4 linked regions of the Kluyveromyces lactis genome follow. The protein of the gene in region 1 purifies or fractionates together with the protein of each later gene. This does not show direct contact. Links are inferred from orthologs where the notes say so. Each region holds a gene or a part of one and is shown on either strand. Other genes may lie near its edges.

Region 1 (5,059 bases):
TTTCATTTTTTTTGTCTTTATCTGATGGATAGTCGATTCTATGGAAATACAAAATTTATTTTATACACAGGGGAAATAGGTCACGACTTATGAATGTCATTCTGAATGGTAACAGGTTGTTTTATTAAGCATTTTTAAACTGCACTAAAAAGGAAAAAAAAATAGAATACCAAGGTATTAATTGTGGGATCTTTCGGTGTAGAATCAATCTTTACATTCAATCAAAGATTGTGATTACACTCTCTTCACTTACATACCAGGTCAAAAAAAGGGTCATAGTGAGAGGAAATAGGCCGATTCATGAAAGATCCGTAACAATTAAGCCACAACTTTTAAAAAAAAACTACAACATTAAGCCACCGAAACGTTTATGGGTTAACATCTTTTTTCATTATTATTGCATTCAAATATATTGTTGTCGCTCGTTATTATACAATATACAATAAATTCATTCAATTCACTCATTTAAATTATTTTATTATAAGCTTTACCCTGTCCTCTATCATAATTATCATATATATAATTACAACTTAACCCTTTTCATTTAAGAACCCGGTCTTAATACTATCAACTCCATGCAGCTAATTTTCGTTATTATCCCAAAATTTAAGCTGGATATATCAATCTCTGGGCAATTACAAAACTCCGTCGGTTAGGAACCAGATACTTCGTTGTCAATTGCTTCCCACATTATAGCATACCTATATAAAGTAACACCTGATAATGGCAATAAAATATAACAAAGCACCATAAGTTGAGGCCTAACGAGGTTAAGAAAAAAATTTCTATGTAATAATATACACATGTTTTGGCAACAATATATCTATAACATATATATGTCTGTGCTTGTGTTTGTGCTTGCGCTTTCTGATTGAATAATTGAGAAGGTGCAGGGTATTGAAAAGATTGAAAGATTCATTCAACTACTCTTGTCCAAATCCGATGGTTTCTTCCACTGCTAATGTTAGCTTCTGCTTGAAAGATTCATAATCAGTGTATGGTGGAAGATCCACTCTGTTGAAACAAGTGTGTGACTTGGGTAGTTGTTGAACTTCACCTGCTTTTTCGATAGTGAATCTTCTTGGACCATCAGAACCTTGCAAATCTTTGAATCCATTGACCGGGATACGCGATGTACCAGTTGTGAATTGTAACAAACGTGCTCTTTGCTCGTTGTCCCATTCAGTGATACATTTCCAGAACCACTGGATAACTTCGTCAGACTCTTGGTATCCACGATAATCTGTGTGTTTTTTCCAGTCTTCAACATCAATTTCTGCAATACCACCAATCAATAATTCAAGTTCACGTTCATCAAACACGTTGACTAGATCTTCAGGAACCAATTCGTTAAATCCATCCATAAATGCCTTAAATTGTTCTTGAACTCTGTCTGCGATCCTCCATTGGGTATATAGTTCAACATATTCTTTCTTGTTTTCATCTGTGACTTCGATTTCTCTGCCGTTTGGTTTCAAATCGACGACAACCAGTTCACCAAATCTTTCATCATCAACATTAAATGTTAGATCTAAAATGCCATCTATGCTATTTTCTAAAATCCATTTCAAGGAGTTGTAGACTTCTGAATCGACACCTTCCATATCTTGTAATACTACCTTCTTTCTTAGCATCATCTTATATAGAGCACCAACGAAGAATGCATCCAAGAACCTTCTATGGAATACACCTAAACCGACGACTCTACCAATGAACTTGAAGTAGTTCAAATGCTCAGGGTTGATACCACTGTTTGGATTGATTTGGATAGTATAGTTATCATGGGCAGAATATTCAAATAGACAGTAGAAGGGATTAAACATCTCGTGTGATAGTAAAAAGAAGAATTCTCTTGAAACACCACCATAATCTAAACCTTCTTCACCGTCAAATTTGATCATTAGTCTCTTCTTTAAGTCTTCTGGCGTTTGTCTCATTATTTCTTGGTAAGAATCTTCGAAGATATTCTTTCTGCGTACTCTGATGTGACATTGACCTGGTAGAATTCTTAAAGCCGGTTGGGATCTGAAGTAAATAACCTTACGTCTGAAGTCACGCTTATACTGTGGAACGTTTTGATCCAAGGAAGAAGGTAATCTAGGATCATCCCAAGTGGTGGTCTTAGTGTTATGGTCAACGAAGTATACACGGGCTGTGTTTGTCAATCTCATCTCCCAACCAGAAGGCAAAGGTCCTAACTGAGATACAGGTTGTTGTTGTATGGTATTTGTGGAAGGCCCATAGGTTCTAATATATTGTTGTCTTCTTGGATCGACCCATGTCGTGGTTCTTGTGTTGTGATCAACGAAGTACGCTCTTCCTTCAGGAGTGAACCGTTGTTCCCAACCTGGTGGAAGTTCACCCAACCCCGATGTGGTACCCCCAGTGGCAGCAAAAGTAGCAGCTGCTGAACCGTTTACGGCAGGAGTTTGAGATCCAGTACCGGTATGAACAGCAACGTTTGATGAAGACGAGCCCTCTGATTGAGCACCACCATCAGGTAAAGTTCTTCCTCTGTGTTGTCTACGTTCTAGTTCGGTGTTGACACGTTGAACCTCGGATTGATCCAAAGTGGGTCTTTTCCATGTTGTTGTCCTTGTATTATGATCCACATAATATGTTCTTCCAAAGTTATCCGTTCTTCTTTCCCATCCTGGGGGTAAACGACCATATTGATCTTCAAACGATGAGTATTGCCTGCTAGCTGACGATTGAGATTGAGCTGTCGAAGGTTGACCGGATGGAGCAGCATCACTTGAACCGGCACCTGAACCTGAACTGGCGGTACCTGCAGCATTCGCAGAATCCTGGTTGTCTAATGTAGTAGTTTGCAAGTTGTTAGCAACAGTCTGAGCAATCAATCTGTTGTCGATAGTGGAAGCGTTCGTCATCGAATCCGATTGACGAGCTGCTCCGGAACCAGCAACAGCACTACCTGCGGCACCAGCAGCTCCATTACGGCTGCCAGCTCTGGGGAGAACCGTCAAAACCAATATTATTCTACCACTTACTGACAACCCGTCGTTAGAACGTTTTAAATCTCTAGTAATAGTCTCTTCACGAGCTCTACCGTTCGAAGTGGCAGTATCTTCGTCCAAGTGACCCAGAATGTCACCAATACGAACGTTGACAACACCTAGGAACCCTTGATCTTTCTTCTTGAACTTTTTCTGATCAAACACTTGAACAGTTAAGATCGAATTTTCACTCACATTTTTGAATTGAAATACTTCATTCCAGTAGGGATTCAACGTCTTCTTTGCAGCCGCTGTGGATTTCGTCTGAGAACCATCGATAGTCAAAACTGCAAACGGATCAGGAGATCTAAACACATCCCTCCTGTTCAATGACTCAGCAGCCACTAGTTTCACAGAGATAGACATATTTCGCAGCTTTTTATTTTTTTAATGGTTTGTCAATTTCAAATCCGATAATTTCTCCTTCAAAGTGGAATCTCAATAACAAATTGAAAAGTCTTCAAACACTAGATATCTGATAAGTGGTAGTAACAGCAATAATTATTAAACAAATAAAACCGCCCGAGAAAGCCTATAAGGTTTTATTTTTTGTCTTTTGTCTTCTTTAATTGTCGTAATTGCAAAGAAACAGAACAGGAAACAGAACCAGAAAAAAAGTTGATGATTCCTCTAAAAAGAAGCAAAGAAAAATCAGATCAATACCTTGCTCAATACCCTTTTCCGTACCGTCCTTTTTGCCACTGTCAATGCACGTTTGCTTATCCTCTAGCACCTTGATCTGATGATTAAATCGGATGTTGTTTGCAAGTAAAGTATCTTTGTTCTTGTTTTGTTTCCTTAATTAAAATATGCAAATCACAATTTTCTTTTCTCCTTTACTTGTCACGTGAGGAGATTGAAACCTGGAAAAAGAGTACTAAAGAGGGATACCAGGCTACGCCGAGTATGTCAGTAAATTCGGAAACGGCATTAATGGCGGTGGTAGCCACCAGGTTGCAAGAATCTGCCGTATTGCTGTCAGATGACGTGCATATGGGACGATTATGGGCATCACGTGACAAAAATCATATCGTCCAAAATGACATAAATATAAACAAGCCTTTGCCAGCTTTAAAGATGCTGGGTTTGTTTACAGGTAAACAAACCTCTTGCAAACATAAACAGGATGTTTGCTCATATGGCTGCCTAACACACTCAATAGGTAACGTGCCTTTCTCTAATTTTTGTTGCTTGTTCTGCGTTTGGTCCTATTTTTGATTGGCTCAGTGTTTGCTAGTGCTATTTTTATTTGCCCTGTATCATATATAAACATGTCGTTTCTAAAAGTGACCAGCTCTTACTCCTCTAATGGATGTACCTGTTAACAATCAATTATTCTCTGCAGTGCAAACATTACACAAAGTCAAATAAGAAACTGTATATTGCGAAAATTATGACTGAATTCTACAGGGCTCCAGAGATATTCAGACAGAACGCCATCATCGTCAAGAAGAGTAGAAGAGATATTAGCGATGACGAGAACAGTACTATTGTCAGGCGGAATTGCAAGATAGAGGCTTCGAAATTGAACAGTTCCTTGCTAAGGAAGGTTAGTGGTGATTTGAACGATGTCATTGTCACGAAAAAATTGAAGACAGATTGTTGGAAACTGTCAGAAGACACTAGGGACGTCACTTCAATGTCATTGGATAGGGACACCATTCTACTTTCCACATCACAGACATCGGATAATTTACAGTTGTTCCAATTGCGGAATAATGAAATTAATGAGCAGGCTCGCGGTGGGAAATTGCTCCATAGTTTACAAACCATTACTGTTCCAGGAAAATCTATTCTGGCTACAGATATCATGCAATCGCAGAATAATGACACCGTAGTTTCCTTCGATGATAAAGTCCATGACAGAATCTTACTTTCAGGACACTCTGATGGATATGTGAACTTAATTGCAACTTCAATCGAGAATGGGAACGCCAAAATTCTAAGACGTTTCAATCATTCCAAACATTTGAAAGTGATCACCGATAGCATGGATAGTGTTGATCTTGCTACGCAAATTTATAACACAAGTCGTTCAAAAC
Region 2 (5,167 bases), about 980 kb from region 1:
GCGATTTGGGCAGCGGAACGTGTGTGAATGGTTGGCCCTTCTGACAGTACGCTAACCCTTTCTAATGAACCGTGATGAATACGTGATAAGGCATATTTGGTTTTATATATACAGATTGGAGAAGTATTATAGTATCGTATACAAACGTATATATTACACTGATGATATAGTTACACCCATACACGTTGGAAACTAACGTAAATCAATGTTTCAGGAAGAGAACCGCATGCTCCATTATCAAAAAAGAGCACATTAAAAGAAACAGTCAGTATGAATATGACTTTAAGACTAACAACTTCAAGCCAAAAAAAGTGCCCCCGCCTAATTGCCGTGCAACCGTTGAAAACTTACACTAAGTAAGTTGTATGGAAGCAGGTTACACAAGGGTCATACCAATCCATCATAAAGATTCAATGCCCCTACTATAGATGGATCGACCTTCGATCCGTCTCTAAATTCATCTAACGTAATACAACCATCTTTGTCTTTATCCATAAGCCTAAAGATCTTTTCTACCCTTAACTCTGGAGTAGCTTCATCGTCACTTAGTTTTACCATGTTCCCGATCATTTTATAAATACTTGACACTATGGTCAACATTTCTTCATATGAAATTACGCCATCGTGGTTTAAATCATAGAGTTGGAAAGCCCAGACTAACTTTTCCTCTAAGGAGCCCCTGGAAGTGGTGCTTAATGCTGTGATAAATTCTTTGAAGTCAATGGATCCATTATTATCCTTGTCAAACACGCTAAACACATACGTAGCAAACTCATCTGGCGAGCCAAAGGGGAAAAATTGTTTGTATATCTTGATGAACTCTTCTCTAGTTAGCTGGCCGTTCGGGCAATCCCGTAGAAACCCTTTGTGCCACTGTTGGATCTCTCTGCGATCGAAATACGTAGATTGCTTCAAACTGGTCAAATCATTCTTTGAAAGTGTAGACGTTTTATTTCCCATCTTATTATTGTTATTCCATGGATAGTATATATCTTAACACTTACTGTGATCAAACGCCACTATAAGCTACCTATGATCAGTTTCGGAAAAGATATTGACTAGACCCTGAAGCTCTTCCTCCCTAAATTTTTCAACTCCTCATGCAACATCTTTTATATTGGTTTTTTTTTAATTATGTTTTTCTCTCTTCTGCAGTTTACAGATTTCGTTGTAGGAAAGTGGCTTGTGAAGTCCGTCATAGATGATTCTCTAAAAGTAACGATAGAAACAGTGACAGAGATGACCGTTCCTCTTCTACTTTGCTTGTTGGTGTTCAAGTAACGACTACTAAAATTCTTCAGATGCTCACTATGAAGCGGTGCCACTGATCGAACTATTTTTCCTCTTTTTAACTCAACGACTGCGTTTTAAAGTTCTGGATTTTATGAACCTATTTCAACATTCAAAGGTTGAATAGGTTACATTGAGTTATAAATTATAGTTTACGTAGTACTCAGAAAAACAAGTTGTAAAGCTGTTTCAGTCTTTTCGGAATAATAGCAATGCTGTTACATCAAACAGGGCATAGGTAATTTGAATAGAGGCCCTTTTTGACTCATTTTAATGCCCTTTGTACCGCCATAAATGCGTTTAAATTTAAAACTGTGAGTATAAATCCGTACACCACACACTCATTGTGGTTCTGTCTACAGATTTCCACTATTGACAAATTTTAAAGGGTAACAAAAGAATTAAGTAGAATCAGAATAGTAATTGCATTAAATTTTAAGGAAAACTAGATCTTCAATCCTTTGGCAAATGCATAATTAAAAATATCTATTTGCCACTTCTAGGCTCGTTCTAATACTCCCAGTGATTCAATTCTGATACATTTGACACGCTACAGTATATTGTGACAATTTGAGGATAGCTTGGCAGAGAATAGAATCTCGAATTGATGATGGCTTCACAAGAACCAGCTTTAGAATTGAATGGCGAACAGAGAGATTCTGTTTCGGAAACAGCAGAAGTACTGAGATCTAAGTCGTTGGAATCATTTTCAGATTTAGTAGACGATGGTAAGACGCTTTTGTACGGAGATATTTCGAAAAGTTTTCCGTTCAAAACATGCGATCGAATTTTAGATGACATTAGGATTTCACCATGGTTCTTGAAGAAGTTTGGTTCATCTGTGATGAAACAACCAATGCTTCAGTACTCGAGGGAAAGACAGCAATTGCAACCGTGGAACCTAGTGCATTTAATTGACCAGGTTAATTTGAGAAGCAGATATGATTATGATTCAATGACTTGTCCAGGGAAGAATACCATCAGTGTTATGTTCGCATTGCTGGTAGATCCGAATTTTACTCCTAATGACTTTGATGACATTGACAAGTTTCCTGAATACTTCTTTCATTTGAAGATTACTGTGAAAAGGAGATCATACTTGGAAAATTTCAATAGACACGTTGGGATAACTCATTATCATGTTTTAGAGCCTGAATCTTTACATCCATTCGACAAAAGGGATATCTTTATAATGGAAGAGAAAGACTGTAGATTAGTAGACCAAAGTATATTTGTTTCTGCTGATACTAATAAACTTATACTTGTTGAGATAATAAAACCAGAATTTAATTCAGAGAACCTAGCTGAATATCGAACAGCAAAAATTGAGGAAAGATATAAAAATGCATGTCAAGAATTTGATTTATTGAACCCGGACGATATTCCTAGCCAAGCCGAGTGTTTGAAAACTCTTTTCATGATATTTAAGAACCCATTACAGAGGAAATCTGCTAATAGTGAGTTTAAGATTATTTCCAGGGATAGTGTTGCACTCAACTCACAAATTAATACTGACTGGTTAACGACAATGTTTGATTTCAGTTTGCAGAAGACCGCTGTAGAAGATAATGTCCAATCTGGAGAGGAATATAAGCCACCAGATTTAGTTGATTATATCACAGATTTTAAGGTCAGAGGGATTAGAGAGGCGTATACCAGAAAATCCATGGAGGTTGTTTTAATTGGTAAGCAGTCGATGCTACTTGAAAATGAACTTGGTACTGAAAAGAAGACAGTGGCAAAGTGCTTTTCTAATCAACATTTTAGTGCCAGTCACACATGGTGGTTCAATATTTTGAACCACCAACACATTGAACCATTCCCCTACGACATAAATTACCATTTTATTAACCTATCTGTTGCTTTTAAGTACATCGATAAGGATATCATTAAAAACTATGAAACTCAAATTGCACTTGATCAGGAAAACATCAGCCATTATTTTGATGCTCTCCAATATGTAACAAACGCAAAGGGTAGTTACCAGCTTATTGCTTACTGTGGAAAACAAGATGTTGTTGGGTATGAAGATTTGAATAATGCATTACAGGTATTTGGTTTAGATCCAACTGACATTGACGCAAGCCTCCTTGATGCCAATACGATGATTGAATATTACAATTCTCATCTATTAAGGAGCTCTGATAATCAAAGAAAAGATCTAAGAAATGCCCTACGTGTGCTAGGAAAATATTTAGGTAGTCAAAAGATGTTGTTTTTGGTGGAGTATGAACCATATTATAATGTACAACAAGCTTACACTCTTTTAAAGGTAGACGAGACAGTAGATGATGATATTATCCAAACTGCATATACGATCAATATTGCTGATGCCCCTGGTTTGAAAAAAGATTATGATCGGGCGATTTTTACAATAGCACTAGATAGGCGCTCAATATTTCTTTTGAATGTCTTGACAGATGAATGTCCAGAATTTGCGCAATATTACAACTGCACTGACATATCATACGATGAAGCATTGAACATCATTGAAATTGACATGAATGCAAGCGACGATGTCATCCTTGAAGTTTTTCAAAAGAAATGGAGTCACGGAATTATGACAGGTCCTGATTATCTATTGAAGTTGAAAATGGCCCTTCAGAATATTGGTTTTACTAGAAATAGTAAACTTATCAACCACTTTTTAGACACCGGTATTGTGGACGTAAGTTGTCTTCCTGTTGCTACATGGCCAGCTGGAATCAATAATGTGGGAAATACATGCTACCTAAACTCACTACTTCAATTCTTTTTCACTATCAAACCTCTACGTGATTTTATTTTGAATTATGATGATGACTCTGCTAAATTACTGGATGCGTCTGAATATCACTCTAGAAGAAGAATTGGAGGCAGGGAGGTCAGCAAACAAGAAGAGCTTAGATCGGTCCAGTTTGTCTACCATCTTCGTGATTTGTTCAATGACATGATCCACACAAACAGTAGATGCGTCACGCCCACAAAAGAGTTGGTCTACTTAGCCTTTGCTCCGAGTAATGTCGAGGTGGAGTTCGGTGACGATACTGTTGCCCAGAAAGAACTCATCGACTTAACAACTGACGTCGTCGAAGACCCCACTGATACTACTCGTCACCTAGCGTCTTGTGATGATGATATCATAATGTGCCAGAGCCCGGTTGCGCTCCCCGAACATAAAACATCGTCAGAAGCAGGAACACAGCAATATTCCGTCCAAGTTGCTAAAATCAGTGCGGACCAACTTGAAAATACATTGGAGATCGGAAGACAACAAGATGTTACAGAATGTATAGGTAACGTCTTGGCTCAGCTTGAGATTGCTTCAGAACCTTTGAGCTTGGAAGACGACTTGGAACAGAATGATCTTGTCAAACAGTTGTTTTACGGTAGAATTAAACAGGACTTGATACCAGTCAATGATGAGGCTTCTGTCCGGACAAAATATGAAAGGTTTTTATCCTTATTGGTTAACACCGGTGACCATCCAAAGGATATTTATGATGCTTTAGATTTTTACTTTCAGAATGACTATTTGAATTTGGAGGAGTATGGTGATGTAAAGAGAACTGTATCTATCTCAGAGTTACCTGCGGTTCTACAAATTCAAATCCAGAGAGTCTATTATGATAGAGAAAAATTCATGCCTTTCAAGTCTATCGAGCCGCTACCTTTCGGCGAAACGTTGTACATGGATAGATATATGGCTACCGAGGATCCAAAACTATTAGCAGAAATTCAACAAAACGCAGAATTGAAACAGAAACTTCAAGACTTAAAGCAAAGACAGAGGAAACTACTCTCACAGAACGAAATAGGATTAACTTTAAAATCCTCGCTCATTGAGACCAAAAAGTTCTTACAGTCCGGTACCTTGAAAGCGCACGATATTGATGCG
Region 3 (4,976 bases), on another chromosome or scaffold:
GCATGGTTGCCTTGGTGATGGCAATAGTTGGTCTGATATCCACGTTTGCAGACTTAGCAACATCATCAAACAAATAAGGTGTTAAGTGACCAAAAGGATCCATCGATACAATATCACGGTTGTTAAACCATGATGGCTGTTCTGGGATTGTAAACACAGGTTGCGCGTTGGTATAGTCTGGAATATGGTCGCGTTTTAACTGGTTTGAACCAATGGCCAAAGCATTATAGATGCAGTATGGACCAGCATGAGCACCGATGCAATTGTGTTTAGAGATACCACTTTTATTTCTTGATGGAACCACAGGACCCCTTTCTTGACAATCAGCAGCACCCCAGTTCAATGGGATAGGAGAGGAATCTTCTGGGTAGGTGGTTAAAAGGACATCATTAACTGGTGTCGCTTTGATGTGTTGTTCTACTTCCTTACGGGTAACGGCGATTGGACTCATCTTTAGTTGATAATTTCACAATATCCTTAATGATTGATACTTTTTGATTTAATCTTGATACTTATAGATGTGTTTACTATATGCATTACTTAATTGAACCTTATCCAAACTAAGTTCTTCTTCTTCGACAAACGCTCTTCTTTTATAGATTTTGAAGGATAATATATCCTGTAATAATTTACACAAAGATAACTAGGCTCCCATGCACTCGAAACTATACAAATCGCTCGAGCTTTCCGTTTTCTATCTCCCGTACCTCTTTTTGTTATCCTAATCACACGCTATCTACGTTTTTGTTTCACTAACTGACGCATGTCAATTTTCCTCCGACGGATTTCCTTCGGAGGAAAATGGTACAGCATATTATGTCAGCACCGCCAGTATTAAACAGGGAAAACAACGACTAAATATCTCCTATGGAGATATGTATACATACATATGGGTAGATAGATGCTTTACACATGAAGGTGTTAGTTAACCGCACTAATTGACATACATGCAATCTGTTTACTTGTTTTTAGGTTGTTATTCTCAATCACTAAGGTCGCCAACGGAGATTTGAGGTCCCAAACTCAAAGTAGAGATATGAAAAGTAAATTCAGATTGTAAGTTTGGAAATTATTACAAATGCTCCAGAATATACCAAATTTGGCGTCCCTTTGTGGGCTATGAAGTGCTATAAAAGAGGTTACTCCAATAGATAATTCTCATCATAGATGATTCTAATCACGTGATCAACAAATCACGTGCTCGACACAGCAGAAGAGGCTTATAAAATTATACAATGTAGAACTAAACTTAAGTTTCCAGATCCATTTCCTGTAGCAAGTATCTACGGTTTATATCACTGCCTCTTGGCTGAACATTCTGGTAACATCATTCAGCTGCTTTACTTAATCACTTATACTTCAGAAAGACTTCAGAGAGCAGATCTTCAAGCCAATTCTCCTATTATAGGGGAAAAACGGAGCCAGCCATCCACCTTAAAAGGAAAGAAAAAAAATATCTGAAATTAAATGAGATTCAGAAAGAAGTATACATAATATCGTATTTGGTGGAACGATTACGGAGGTGATTATATACACACTAAGGTGCAGTGCTGTCGAAGAAATATTGCCAAACATGTCAGAAGAACCTGTGGACCGCACGAACCCAGCAATTGCTGAGGAACGTGATATACAAGCCCTAGATTCGACCACGACTGTTGATATCAATGTGAATTCGGTAACCGACGCTGATGCGAACGTGGAGAACAACACCCCTGATGTGCCTGATGTTGATGTGACGCCATCTCCATCAGCAAATAAAACTGTAAATAGTAACACCGAGGGAGCGGCCCATGCTAGAAATGCGTCAATTGTATCTATGAATAACGCGAACATTAAATCGGTTGTTTTGTTTGTAAAATCAACGTTGGAATCCATAATGAAATCCAAAGAACTTAAGAAACTTACGAGTTGTCAGAAAGATATAGAAAGGACTTTGAAGTCCCTAGAACAAACCTCAGCAGCGCCAACCGGAACTTCGGTAGAAATTGACTCGTTGCTCGTTTTTGAAGCGTTAAGATCATGTTGCAGATCTAAGATCATTGATATTCAAATAAAGGCTTTAGATTGTTTCGCTAAACTGTTCTCCTTTCAAGCCTTGGACGAATCGCTGCTAGTGAATCCTCCAGACTCAATGGCTTCAAACGATCAGAACCCTGAAAATATTGGAATTACTCCACCTCCAAAACAAAAGCTTATTGATGCGGTAATTGACACAATTTGTGATTGTTTTGAAGGGGAAAATACAGACTCAAGAGTGGAACTGCAAGTTGTACGTGGTTTAGCCAGTTGTATCTTAATCGATGAAGCTACTTCTTGTGTCCATGGCGCTTCCTTATTGAAGGCCATCAGACAAATTTACAACATTTTCATCTTTTCGCTACATTCATCCAATCAAGGCATAGCGCAAGCCACTTTGACCCAAATTGTCACGACCGTTTTCGATAGGATCGATGTGAAAAGTTTGAATCAACAGAGATCACTTTCAACAATTAGCTTAAAGAATGCTGCTTCCACCAATGGAGGAACATCCACTCCATCATCTGAACATCCGTTAACTTTGCAAAATTTGGATACACTAAATGACGAGACTGAAAGACTGGTAGACGAAGAAGAAAATTTCCAGAAACCCGATGACTCCATCACTGATGAACAAGCTCTTACCATCAAAGACGCTTTCCTTTTGTTTAGAGCCATGGCAAAAATATCTGCAAAACCTTTGGAAGACTCACTAGATATGAGATCTCATGTAGTAAGATCGAAACTTTTATCTCTTCATACTCTACATTCAATATTAAAAGACCATATCGACGTTTTCTTGTCTCAAAACGTTAGGGTTCCAGGAAAAGAGCAAGTCAGCTTAGTTCATGCAGTCAATCAGTATTTGTGTTTATCACTTGCGAGAAATGCAGCCTCTCCAATTGCGCCCGTGTATGAGATAACTTTAGAAATTATGTGGTTGATAATATCGAACTTGAGATCTGAGTTTAAGAGAGAGATTCCCGTGTTCCTCACAGATATTTATTTCCCTATTGCGGATTTAAAGTCTTCGACCAATCACCAGAAAAGATACTTTTTGAGTATTATCCAACGTGTTTGTAATGATCCACGGACGCTCATTGAATTCTATCTTAATTATGACTGTGATAGTCATATGCCAAATGTTGTTGAGTTGATCATAAACTACCTCACAAAATTAGCTCTTACACGTGTAGATGTGACAACATCACAAAGAGCTTATTACAATGATTCATTAAGCAAGCCGCTTGCAACATTTAGTTATACTCAAGTTCCTTTGTTATCGATCTCCAATATCCCATCATCTTCTGACTCCTCTCAACTTCCGTTTCCGGTTGATTATGCTCTAAAACAAATGGCCCTTACATGTATGGTCGCGTTCCTCACATCTTTGAGTTCATGGGCACATAAAGCGCTAAATTCCAGTTCGATCAACACGGTAGGGAGTAGCCAATCCAAAGCTTTGAGCCAGAGAGCAGATTCCTCAACCCTCCTATCTTCGAACAGACCTCGTTCAACTTCTGCTCTCAGTTCGGTGTCTAACACGGATACAAACTCTGTATCTGAATCAACAACAAATGAAGAAGTAGATGACCCTCTGCAATTTGAAACTGCTAAATTAAGGAAAACGGAACTGTTGAATTGTGTGAAGTTATTTAACTACAAAACTAAGAAGGGAATTGCAGAGTCGATAAAAAAAGGTTTCATCGAGGACGATTCCAGTGTTGCTATTGCAAAATGGTTATTGAATACCGATGGGCTTGACCTATCTGCCGTAGGAGAATATCTTGGTGAAGGCAATGAAAAAAATATTTCTATCATGCACGCATTTGTTGATCAGTTTGAATTTACAAATCTCTCCATAGTTAGTGCTTTAAGATTATTCCTTCAAAAGTTTAGATTACCTGGCGAAGGACAAAAAATTGATAGATTCATGCTTAAATTCGCTGAGCGCTTCGTTGATCAAAACCCTAATGTTTTCTCTAAAGCAGATACAGCTTATGTTTTGGCATATTCGATTATTCTTTTGAATACCGACTTGCATTCCACTCAGATCAAAAAGAAAATGACTCTTGAAGAGTTTATAGAGAATAACTCAGGCATAGACAATGGAAAGGACTTGCCAAGGGAATACATGGAACAAATATTCGAAGAGATATCAAACCATGAAATCAAATTGCTCTCGGAACAACACCAAGCAATGATTTCGGGTGATGCTACTGCAGCGTTACCTCAGCAATCCTCATTTGGGTTCTTCAATGGCAAGGATTATGAAAGGGAAGCCTATATCCAAGTGTCTAAGCAAATTTCTTCGAAGACCGAATTAGTATTCAAAAACTTGAGCAAGAATAAGGACACTGTGTACTACGCTGCATCACACGTTGAACATGTTAAATCGATTTTCGAAACATTGTGGATGTCTTTCTTGGCTGCTTTGACCCCTCCTTTCAAGGAATACAATGACATAGAAACTTCTGATTTATGCCTTAAGGGTATCAAAACTTCTATCAAAATCGCTGCTACGTTCGGCATTGATTATGCAAGGGCTTCATTCGTCGGTGCATTAATTCAATTCGCTAATCTTCAAAACCTTGAAGAAATAAAAATAAAGAATGTATATGCAATCATAACTCTTCTTGAAATCGCTGTTTCGGAAGGTAATTACATGAAGGACTCCTGGAAAGATATTCTAGTCATCGTTTCTCAAGTGGAGCGTTTACAATTAATTTCAAAGGGTGTAGATAGAGAAACTGTTCCTGATGTTACTCAGGCAAGATTGGCCAACCATAGATCCTCTTTCGAGTCCACGCGCTCTTCTTCCACCCAAAACTTCTTTGATAGATGGACAAGAAAGGCCACACCTGGTGAGATTGCTCAAGAGAAACATTATAACCAAACACTTTCGCCAAACATCTCGAAATTCATAACGTCTAGTGAATTGGTTGTTCTTATAGACAAAA
Region 4 (4,285 bases), about 900 kb from region 1:
GTGTAATGTCAACAAATTATCAATAAATGCACTAAACAAGATGGAAATAGTGCAAATGCAGCAGTTTCGCGTGTTTCAGTGCTGGAAATGGACTTTTTCTTTCTCATTGTGTGCATGCGTGTGTGTGAAAATATTCGATATGCATAAAGTAACAATAACGAGTAGGCAAGTGCGTACCCTTTCAAACAGCAAAGGGGAAAAAAAAAACAGACACAGAATACAGCTTACACACTTGCAGAACGGGAGAGTCTCTTAGGATTTGAGGCAATAGGGGAAGTTTTAAGGTTCCCCCATCAGAGGGAATTCTAGACAGTCTAGAAGGAAATCTTTCGAGATACATAAGAGTTCGAAAAATTCGAAAAAAAACCGTTTCTTCAGGAATGGTGTAGCAAGTCCATTCTGATTCTTGCGACAGATTTTCTGTTCCTAATCAAGAATACAGTAGGGGGGGGGAAGGATTCCCGCATGGAAAAGTACCAGATTGTGGAAGGATTATTTAGATAGGTTGTAATTGGACGTGTGTGGGCCCCGGCTTGTGTGGCAGTACGTTTCTTGTATATATTCTTTTGGCTACGATTTTTCGCTGGTTCCTTCTGAGAGATCTCGATCGTAAAAATGTTTCCAAGTCTAAATGCCTAGAGATCCTCAGTGCGAATTGAACTGGGGTGTAAGTGACGCAAGGGAAAGGAAACGAAAGGAACGAATCGCATATTCCAGGTAGGAAGCTATCTGGGTAGCTAGCTAAGTAGCTAGCTCGGGGAGCCTGCTGAGCCGAAACTCGCATTGTATGTGAGCTTTTGTTATACGCAATCCTTAGGGGAATTTGTGTGTTTACTCTATATTACTCTGTTTACCCTGTTCAGCCTTTTTTTTTCCTTTCTTCGATCTTAAAAGTGCTGCAGTTTGAAGAGTGCAAAGCTAGCAATAGGTTGAATGAAGTTGGCAAGGGGTATCCGGCGAGGTGCCTGTTGTCTCAAGCGTGCTGTGCAGACGTTACTGTGGTGTAGAATCGGATGTATCCGTCTATTTACATCTTGCCCACATCTTTGCATCCTATATACCCAAATGATTATGTACATCTCAATTAATGAGCTTCATACTGGTTTGTCGTAGACAATGCAAATATGGAACTTTATTCTATCTTCTTGGAGATTTTGCATTGTTTAAGGTTTTTACCTTATTAGTACATCCTACAAAGTTGCAACATGCAACATTCTTTCATCCAGGACAAAGAGTTGAATGAATGACGCTGTTCTGCCTGCATTCTCGAATAACTAGAAAAGAAAAAAAAATCGCATTCCTTTCTTGCCTAAGTAATTCAGTTCTATGTCAGGAATTCTTTTAGCTGATCTGATTCATCTGTTAACAGTTTCAGCATTTTCCCCTTTACCGGTATTCAACGATACCTTCTAGATCCGTTGACTTTTCTCTGGATGATGAATTTTTCCTTTGTAGAAAGTTGAAATTTTAACTGGAAATAATATACAGAGAGTATCGTTTATAAGGGTATAAGGGGTCTTAAAACGTAAGATGTAAGTAGCGAGCAGCCATTGCCATTACAGCTATAACGATTACCATATGCAGAGCGGATTCGACCAGGAAGAATTGTTACGGAAGCTCGATGCCGTGGACAGCGATTCTAGTTCAAATGACGGCATCACATCACTGCCCAGCAGGTTACCAAATAGTTTGTTGAATACCACCATTGAGCATTGGTGGAAAAAGGATCCTTCTCAATTGGTTGGGATCTTACCAAAGGGGTCTAGTGCATTGTTGGAGTCTTACTTCCCGTTGTTTGCACTCTGTATGGCTGTGAACGTGCCGACGAAGTTTCTCAATGTGGATTTTAAGGAATTAGTGTATAACCCACATTGGTTCAAAGGAGAGTTGGTACAATCTGATTACAGATTGGTGCATAGGAATGCGGGTCCTCTTTTGATTCATAAGAGAGAGTTGACCGGTAGTGAATATTTGGAAATGCAACCGGAATTGATCCCACGGATGCAACTATTGATAGGCATAGCCAACGATCCAGAATCGATGAGAAGGTTCGTTGCATCCGAATTGATCAATAAGGGTACAGATTTCAACGTGTCCAGAGCCCTCTCTGAGTGTGACCACCTCTCAGAAGTATTCCCGCAATTCATCAAGAACTTACACAATGATATGGATTTGTGTTTGAAAGACGATAAATCTACTTCGAAATTATTCCTTTCTAAAGCACTCCACAGACCAAACGTATTAGAGCCTTTCCAACCCACTTCTTTATCCGTATTAAATTTTTCACCGGAAAACTACGCTTATACACTTTATGAGATGTTCAATCCGATGCTCTTGCCAGAAGATTCTGGGAGGGGATACGAAATAGAGAATGCCTTTGATTTCCTGGCTCCCGTGTTCACTATCATCTTCGATGACATGGACGATACAACTGAAGAAGTGAACCTTTCCCACGGAGTACAGATCCCCATCGAGTTCTACCCCCAACTGTATACCAAGAATGCTTTGGAAAAAGTGGTCGTCCCTGTCCTCGAGGAGACTGATGCCTTAAGGAATACTAATAAGTTGAAAGTGGACCAAATGTCATCCTTGCAATCGTTTCAGGGGAAGCAGATCAGCTCTTTCTTGAACAGTTCCATCAATTACTTGGAAGAAATTCCATTAGGAGACGAAGATAAATCAAAAGAGTTGGTTGACACTTTAGAAAAAATCAAGTACCAGCTATCGAACAAGAAACGTGAAATGATGGCCGATTATACAGAAACTCAAAGACAAATCGATTTGTTATCCTTTGAAGGACCATCTGAAAAGATAATCGATCTGGCAAAACAGGTTGGTATCATTGATGAGCCGTACCTACTCCGGCTAGTGGTATTTTCGCCAAACGACTACATAATTGCACGTGGAATCAGTGCTGACGATGGTAATACCGGCATGGAAACTGGCAACAACAATCTGCAGTATATCAGGAATATCATTGAGTTTGGATCAAGCAGCCTCACTCAAGAGGAACTCACAGCGCAGGAAACTCAAGATATAACAAAATCACACACAAGACATGCATCCGAGACTCCAATCCTTTTCGTTTACATTAAAAAAGACCATATTGACGCACCGCAAGATATTCTGGCTTCCATTTCCGAAAATGAAACCCTAACAAATTTCCTCAAAGAAGAGCACACTACGTACGTTAATTATAAACAGTCACCGTAAACGCATGAAATGCGTATACCTATAATAATCATACATGTTTTACTGAGAGAATAAAATAGAGTTTTCTCCTTCTAGATGACCTGGATACCATTGGCGCCTGCTTCAAGATGCACTAAGCAGATGCCATTCGTTGCATTGCTTCTCAACCGCTTGTTATTTATAGAAAGCGGACATCTCTTACAGAATAATCTCACAATTGGTCGTAAAAAAGCTCAAACCCAAAAAAAGCTAAAGAATCAAAAAAAAAAAAAAAAAAAAGCCTGTAGTTAGTTCTTTCTTGCAGACAAAAGTACAGAAATAGAATAAAAGGAATCTGCCCACTGGAAAATGGGTCTGACTCCGGCGGTTTCTAGAAGAAATCTGTGATTTTGAAATAATTTATAAATATAAACTATACTAATTCAATTTACTATATATATACCAAATGTATAAATTTGGCCTTAGCTTGGTATATCTTGACTCTGAACACTTAGCATACCTGATACAATTAGATCTAGCGGTGTAAGAGAGGTAAAGAGTGTCTACGTGTGCTATTTCGTGACAATTCCTCTCACGAACCATGTTTCGTAATAGAAGGATCTTACTTTATGCAAGGCGATTCTTTCTTGTATGGATTTGTTTCCTATTTATAACATCATGGAGTTTGATCCAAAGGCATCTGAAGAACTGGTTGGTGCAAGCACCAGACCTTAAATTGTCGGGATCACTACAAGACACTGGGATCAAGGTACGAGATGTTAGGATATCCAAATGTTATTCTTGGTTTAGCAACTGCGATGCGATTTGGGATTACAGTTTACAGGATGATTTAGTCACGTGGTATCGCATCGATATGGGGAAGATGCAAGACACCTCTATTGGACAAGGCTTTGGGTGGACAAGTTATGTTTATTGGCAGCCCTTATACCCAAACGAACGTGGATCGGCTGTAGTAGATCTTGCTTTGAGTAGAAATGGACTTCCGTTGGGTTTAGCTAATGAACGGTATAACAAGATCAAAAATAATGATATCGACGGGTACCATGTTCATTCTAATACGGACAATGAGTTCTATGTCAAAGATGACTCGTCA

Evidence for each region.
Region 2: the proteins of RSP5 (region 1) and UBP2 purify together in Saccharomyces cerevisiae (affinity purification with western blotting; 7 studies listed by BioGRID, with this or other methods). This does not show direct contact. The link is inferred for Kluyveromyces lactis from reciprocal best matches to the Saccharomyces cerevisiae genes RSP5 and UBP2.
Region 3: the proteins of RSP5 (region 1) and SEC7 purify together in Saccharomyces cerevisiae (affinity purification with mass spectrometry; 3 studies listed by BioGRID, with this or other methods). This does not show direct contact. The link is inferred for Kluyveromyces lactis from reciprocal best matches to the Saccharomyces cerevisiae genes RSP5 and SEC7.
Region 4: the proteins of RSP5 (region 1) and RUP1 purify together in Saccharomyces cerevisiae (affinity purification with western blotting; 4 studies listed by BioGRID, with this or other methods). This does not show direct contact. The link is inferred for Kluyveromyces lactis from reciprocal best matches to the Saccharomyces cerevisiae genes RSP5 and RUP1.

What each region holds. Positions count from the first base shown.
Region 1 is NC_006041.1:1,196,457-1,201,515, reverse strand, and holds RSP5 (NEDD4 family E3 ubiquitin-protein ligase), read right to left. Parts: upstream 3,384-5,059; coding exon 924-3,383; downstream 1-923. Other genes in the region: DSE1 (Dse1p), read left to right, coding at 4,330-5,059. UniProt on the Saccharomyces cerevisiae protein: E3 ubiquitin-protein ligase which accepts ubiquitin from an E2 ubiquitin-conjugating enzyme in the form of a thioester and then directly transfers the ubiquitin to targeted substrates.
Region 2 is NC_006041.1:219,040-224,206, reverse strand, and holds the start of UBP2 (ubiquitin-specific protease UBP2), read left to right. Parts: upstream 1-1,897; coding exon 1,898-5,167. Other genes in the region: putative monooxygenase CAT5, read left to right, coding at 1-27; FRQ1 (frequenin), read right to left, coding at 388-960. UniProt on the Saccharomyces cerevisiae protein: Has an ATP-independent isopeptidase activity, cleaving at the C-terminus of the ubiquitin moiety in natural or engineered linear fusion proteins, irrespective of their size or the presence of an N-terminal extension to ubiquitin.
Region 3 is NC_006040.1:1,479,667-1,484,642, reverse strand, and holds the start of SEC7 (Arf family guanine nucleotide exchange factor SEC7), read left to right. Parts: upstream 1-1,573; coding exon 1,574-4,976. Other genes in the region: KLLA0_D17380g (uncharacterized protein), read right to left, coding at 1-451. UniProt on the Saccharomyces cerevisiae protein: Guanine exchange factor that acts as an activator of ARF1 at the trans-Golgi network and is thus involved in vesicular budding and traffic between compartments of the Golgi apparatus.
Region 4 is NC_006041.1:291,846-296,130, reverse strand, and holds RUP1 (Rup1p), read left to right. Parts: upstream 1-1,578; coding exon 1,579-3,213; downstream 3,214-4,285. Other genes in the region: SIA1 (Sia1p), read left to right, coding at 3,773-4,285. UniProt on the Saccharomyces cerevisiae protein: Modulates the activity of the RSP5 HECT ubiquitin-protein ligase through its mediation of the interaction between RSP5 and the deubiquitinase UBP2. Involved in regulation of cell wall homeostasis.